2 linked regions of the Mus musculus genome follow. The protein of the gene in region 2 interacts with the protein of the main gene of each other region in a biochemical or structural test. Links are inferred from orthologs where the notes say so. Each region holds a gene or a part of one and is shown on either strand. Other genes may lie near its edges. The genes, in order: Incenp and Aurka.

Evidence for each region.
Region 1: the proteins of Aurka (region 2) and Incenp form a complex in vitro, tested with the Homo sapiens proteins (3 studies listed by BioGRID and IntAct, with this or other methods). The link is inferred for Mus musculus from reciprocal best matches to the Homo sapiens genes AURKA and INCENP.

The regions. Positions count from the first base shown.
Region 1 is NC_000085.6:9,897,041-9,900,959, forward strand, and holds the start of Incenp (inner centromere protein), read right to left. Parts: upstream 2,450-3,919; 5' UTR 2,299-2,449; intron 1-2,298. UniProt on the Homo sapiens protein: Component of the chromosomal passenger complex (CPC), a complex that acts as a key regulator of mitosis.
Region 2 is NC_000068.7:172,355,497-172,358,256, reverse strand, and holds the end of Aurka (aurora kinase A), read left to right. Parts: intron 1-1,001; coding exon 1,002-1,176; intron 1,177-1,275; coding exon 1,276-1,461; 3' UTR 1,462-2,067; downstream 2,068-2,760. UniProt on the Homo sapiens protein: Mitotic serine/threonine kinase that contributes to the regulation of cell cycle progression.

The sequences.
Region 1 (3,919 bases), on a different chromosome or scaffold from region 2:
AAGGCCAACCTAGACTACATGAGACCCTGTCTTTAATTTGGGGGCGGGGGGGGGGGAGTCAGTAGATGGAAATGTGCTATACATTCCACAGGAATGCATAAGAAATGAGGGGTCCAGAACCATGTTCTCCAAAGAGACCTCTGAAACCCTCCCTAAAGCCAAAATGTCCTATGAATGGATGAGGGAGAGCGAAGTGAGTGCGCATGCAATGTGCTGCTTTCAGGAAGACCTGGCTGTCAATACCAGGCAAAAGACAATGCAGTGCCAGTTTACCCACTGCCTTAAAAAGCTGGGAGCTTGGATATCTGCCGTACGACCTGACTATATAATCCTAACAAAGGTCCTACACTAAGTGGGAGGATTCTGATACTGTCATATCAGGGCCCCCGATAAGCAGTACCCCAAGTGGTAAACACATGAAAGATCAAGAGTGGGTGGCAGCTATGAGCACTAATATATCGGATCCCACCTTATATAAGGACAGGAAGTTCCCACCATGACTTACACTTTCAAAAGCAAGAAGCATGCATACACACTTCAGCCTCTCAGCTACAGAAAAAGGTCAGGGAAGAAAGGGCTATATTACTGATCCTCTTGGAACATAATGCCATCATATACTGTGGCCTCTAGGTTCTTCCTTGAAGTTCTTCAGCCTGATGTATGAGGCACACTACCCTTTTGCCCTTCAAACAAGTTCTGGCCTCTAGGAACTCTGTCTCCTGTTTTGTACAGCTTCTTCACTTAGCTTTCAGCTCCTTAAGGAGGATCAGACCTCCAATCCAAGCCAAGATCTCACACACAGATTCCAGCTATGTGCACAGCAAATGAGTGATTGTTTATGTTTGCCTACTGCTGGCCTCTACCCACTAACCTGCTCTCTGAGGGTAAGCCTTGTGCCTTCCTCAGCAACAAAAGAGTCTGGCACTTGTGGAATGAATTCATTCATCCATCAACTAATCCTAAAGGTTGTCTCACCATCACACACTGGGACACTCAGTGAGCAACTCAGTAGGCACATGTTAGAACAGGCCAAAACACACCCTGACCTAACGGCCAAAGGCAGCACTAACTGGGGCAAAACCGAATGGATAGGGGCACTGAGCCTTTAGGAAAAAGCATTAACTGTGCAGCCAGCTACTCATCAGCATGGCCTCTCCACTGAGTCTCCCTATCCCCCTGCACCAGAAAACAGCCCTAGCCAAGTCCAAGGCCTCATCAGTTCAAGGCCAGCAAAGAGAAGAGAAAACTGCACAAGGACTCCAAAGACTTGCAGAGGAGCTATAAGAAAGTAACAAATGGGAAATTTTACAAAATGTCTGCTCATGCTACAATCGGAGTGAGCGCTTCTTTCACCAAGTCCAATACCACACTTCTTCTTCCATGGGGAAATGTGCTTTCTAGCAAGCCCTCGCTGAAAAGTTAGAAAAGGTGACTCTGAGGAAAGGAGGAGGTGTAACAAGAATCAGACTCCTGGGTAACTTCACCTTCAGTCCACGAAATAAACAAACCCTACCATGGGAGAAGGAAGGTCACTTCCTCTCCACAAATACTATTTCTGTGCCATTCAGCAGATTAGCAATTGCCATCTCCTCTGGGGGTGCAGGAAATGAACTAAGCATTTCTCCCCACACACACCCCTCCAAGCAGGAAGATCGATCGCTAAAACTGCTCTTCCACTCAAGAGTCCTACTCCATGCCAAGAAACCTCTCAATTCCTTTTTGCCACATACTCCAAGATACCCATGCACATACAAATCTAGGTCAAAGTCACCAAGAAAATCGGAGGGCGGAGCCTGGATTTAAAATGTTTTTTAACCACTAGCCACAGGCCTCCAGGACAATAGTTTCAAGCTCAGAATGACACAATCCCAACGCTTGGCAGCAGGAAGCTGGAGGGAACTGCGCCGCTGACAAGAGCCTACGCTTGCGGGGATGACAAAATAAGTAGCAGGGCGGTCTCCGGAGCTGGGTCAGTTTTTAAATGCTGCTCAGCTGGGACGAAGCTGAGCAGCCGTTGCCATAAAAAGACTCAAGTCCGGGTTTACAGAGCAGCCCAGGCTCTGCACAGGTGTTAGGCCCGGCGTGCGGGGAAGAGGACTGACCATTCTCGGATCCCAGGACTCAAGTGCAGGGCCTCGAAGTTCATCTCCAAGCCTAGAACCATTGGAAGTGATCCCCACACCCATAAGCAACCCATAGGCGAAAGTGACTCCCCTGGCCCATCCTGGGAAGCGAAGAGGCCGGGACCAGTGGCCGAACACCGCGACCCTGCGACTCCCGACGCCCGTTCTCACTCACCCGGCGGCGCCGCGTCTTCCCGGACCACTCCTTTTCCAGTCCGCGGCTTCCGCAGATTAAGCTTCCCGCCACGCCGGACCGGCTGGACTCCCAGTACCGCGAGCTCGCCGCAGGCGAGGACCTACCGGGCGAAGAGCGCGGGCGAATCTACGATTTTCAAAATTGTGGCTCAACCAATTCCCCTTAAGTTTGTCTGGGCGGTTACAAAACTCCAAACCAATCACGTAACAGGACGCACGAGTCCGCTTATCTGCTGGCTGTTAGTGCTGTCAATCTGTGGGACTAGGAGGCGGGGAGAAGAACGTTGACGCTTTTAACACGCCCCAACTTCCGGAAGCTGCGGCAATCTACCCGGCGAGGAAGTGGTTGCGACGAATTACAAGTCCCTGCGTGCACTGCGAAGGCAGGCTTGGTTGGGGAGGATGCCTATTTATCTTCGAGCCAGCCGCTTGGTTCGTTTCAAGTCCGGAATGCTTCTGCGTTCGGAATGACAGCTCTGCTACTTTGCAGTAGTAAAAAGAAACACATTGCAAATCTCACAGAGCCTTCCCTCCAAGAGCAGTCAGGCATATAGTTACAGAATGTTTCCTTAGACCTCCGATTGTCACCCGGAAGTGTTTGCTAAGTACCCTCCAGATTGGACGCCACATACAACGGAGAATTTTTCTGGCCACATATAAAGGTAAAGTCTTGAGTTGAAGGTGTGTCACCACCACCTGTAAAATAAAACACCTCCACCTTCTTTATAGAATCATTCTCAGTAGCCAAGAGGTGGGCGAAACTACAAATGTCCCTGGACAGATTAAACAGAGGGGTTTTATTTATTTTTAAATTGTTTTTCCTTTTATTGAAAATAGATTTCTTTACTCACATACTATATCCTGATACAGTTCCCCTCCCTCTGCTCCTCCCAGTTCTAACCTCCCCTTCCATCTGTATCCACTCCCTTTCAAAACAGACTTCTAAGGGATAATAATAAACTAAGATGTAAAACATAAGATAATACAAAACCTATCATATCTGAATTGGATGAAACAAAGAAAAAAAGCCCCAAGAGAAGGCACAAAGACCAGAGACCCACTTGTTCGAACACTCGGGAATTCCATAAAAGCACTGGAAGCCATAACATATATGCAAGAACCTGATGCAGAGCTGTGCAAACTCTGTCTGGCTGTGAGTCTCTGTATTTGTTCCTATCTGCTTCAGGAGGAAGCTTCTCTGATGATGGCTGAGCAAGGCAATGATCTGAGTGTAGCAGAATGTCAATCACTAGGAGTCATTTTATTGCTATGTTCCTTTAGTAGAACAGTAGTATTTAGTTTAACCCTAGGTCCCTGAGCTATCTTGTCTCAGATTGTTGTTCACCCAAGCAGGATTCGATCTTGTGGAGTGGGCCTTAGGTCAAATCAGATATTGGTTGGTTACTGCCACAGGTTTGTGCCACTATTGCCCCAACATACCTTGCAGGCAGACACCATTGTAGGGTTTTGTTGATCCCACCTGTAATGGTTTGTATATTCTTGGTCTAGGGAGTGGCGCCATTTGGAGGTGTGACCTAGTTGGAGTAGGTGTGTCACTGTGGGTGTGGACTTAACACTCTCACCCTTGGTGCCTGGAAGTC
Region 2 (2,760 bases):
TCTGATTCAAAGCCGACCTGGGCTACAGCGTGCGACTAATTTTGGGGGGTAGGAAAGGAAAGCCCTAGAAAGGGAGAGTCTATAAATGAAGGCGGCAGCCGTGTACCTCAGGGGACGTCCTGGGTTCTGTAGTCCTGTTTGGCTGTTTGGTTTAGGGGTCTAAAGATTTTATTTTTATTTTACAACGTATGGGTATTTTGCCTGCATGCCTGTCTGTGCACATGGATGCTTAGTGTCCAAGGAGGCTAGAAAAAGAATTGTCAGCTGTGGGCTTGAGTTACAGATGGTTGTGAGCCACCATGGGGTGCCGAGAACTGAATCCAGGCCCTCTGCTAAAGCCTCCCATGCTCTCCACAGCAGAGCCATCCCTCCAGTATCTTGCTATGCAGCCCAGACTCCACTCCAAGCAGGCATTCTCTGGCCCCAGCCCTCTGGCTGCTGCTGGGATCACAGGCGTGAGCCATCACACCCGACTAAGATCTGTTTTTAAGACAGTCTTACCAGACTGATCTGGAACTCAATATCCTTCCCTCTCCACCTCTCAGGTGCTGGGATTAAAAGATAAACCAGCACACAGGGCTTGGTTATGTTTCCCTCTTACCGTCCACACAGGTGTGTGTGCTTGCTCATAGCTGCTTTTACTTAAAGTACCGACTTTAAAGCAGCTATAAGATTTCATGAACAGAGCCGGGCAGTAGTGGTACATGCCTTTATTCCCAGCACTCAGGAGGCAGAGGCAGGCCTGGTCTACAAAGTGAGTTCCAGGACAGCCAGGGCTATACAGAGAAACCCTGTCTCAAAAAAACCTAAAAAAAAAAAAAGATTTCATGAACAGCCGTAGACGTGAGTTGGATGGGTCTGGGGGAAGTTTGGTGGCTCCATGCTTCCCCCTGACCATTTAGGTGGGCACCTGTCTGAGCGCGCTGGCCTGCCATAGTGAGCGCTCATCACATCACCACATGGTATGTCTGTGTGTCAACCCCAGTCTCCGTTTGGTTTAGGAGAACCACAATGTGTGGCACCCTGGACTACCTGCCCCCAGAGATGATTGAAGGCCGGATGCATGACGAGAAGGTGGACCTCTGGAGCCTCGGCGTTCTCTGCTATGAGTTCCTAGTGGGGATGCCTCCTTTCGAGGCACACACGTACCAGGAGACTTACAGAAGGATATCTCGGGTGAGCTGCTGCTGTCAGGCTTCTGCCGAGGGCTGGTGTTTTGTTTATTCATGTTCACCTCTGACCCATGCTTGTGTTGGTTTATCATTTATTCTGCAGGTTGAATTCACTTTCCCTGACTTTGTGACAGAGGGAGCCAGGGACCTCATTTCAAGACTGTTAAAACACAACGCAAGCCAAAGGCTAACACTAGCGGAAGTCCTTGAGCACCCTTGGATCAAAGCTAATTCTTCCAAACCTCCAACTGGCCACACTAGCAAAGAGCCAACCAGCAAATCATCTTAGGGAATCCTGAACCACGGCCACCGTGCAACTGTGAGAAACACCCTATTGAAGCCACCCTCCTGGACCCTCATGGCTGCCCTCAGGGTGCCTTGCTGAGCAACTAGTCCTTGGCCATGCATCCAGGAAACCCCAAGAACCATGCTGCTTTTCCTGATTTAGTAATCTGGAGGGAAGGTTCCACTGCAGCTGTCCCCTACCCTCACCCTGGGCCTGTGCCCCAAGGTGTCCTTGTGGGGGGGGGGGTCTCACTGTGGGAAACTTACCAGAGATCACCTGTGTCGTAGCCTTCAAGTGCCAGAGTGTGTGTATAACTTATTGGGTCACCAGGCCTAGGGAAACTGTTGGAATGGGTATGTAATCTTTTAAATGTCAAAATAAAGATTTGCATAGACTTTGACTTTTAAGTGACACCCATTCAGGGTCTTGTTTCCAGTCGTCTGAAGCCCGTGCGGGATTTGGATCCTCAGCCACTGCTACGGAGCCTGTGCCTTGTCTTGAGACCTGACTCGGGGGTTTCTTTTTCTGCATGTTAAAGGCTATTTTTTATGTTGGAGTTCTGTCATGTATGCAAACTTGTTAAATATATATGTATACCATCTACCTGGAGTACGTGGGTAATCATTTGAGTATCTCTTCACTGTTGGCTAGCCATGAGCGACTGGTGTTTTTCTGGCCTGCTGGATAGTGGCCAGTGCCATCTGTCCATCAACCAGAGGGGGAACTTGGAATTAGAGAAACAGGCTTTCATGGCCAACTGGACCACCATCAGGAACTTGAGAACATGCCTGAGTGGAAGTCTATCCTCTTGGGACAAGAGGCCTCTAGTCATCCGTCCTGTGCTAAGGCTTTGTTGAAGTAGCAATATTGCTAGTACTGTCCACCCAAGCTGCAGTTAAGTGAGATGCAATCCAGGGAGGCAAACTGAGCACGGGACACTGCCTCCTCTAGCTCCGGCTAGTTTGTGACTATCCTACATGCAGAGGAGTGCCACATTCCCATGGCGCTCTTCCTGGCGGCAGTGATGGCTTACCAGACGGCAGACCGCAGACTTTTACAAAGGCTTTTATTTGTTTCAGACTGTAAGCCATTCACTTGGTCTGCTTAAGAAACTAGAGACACACAATGGCTTACATCTTAAAGTGGTTTCCTGGCTCCTGGTCTACTTAAAGATCACATAGGCAGGAGCAGCTCTGTGCGCCTTGCTGGCTTATACGGTGCTTTAGTTGCTTCACCTCAACTCTTGCTGTGTTCTGGCTGCTGGGTAGAGGCCTGAGAGCGGGGCTAGGTTTGGAAGATCCG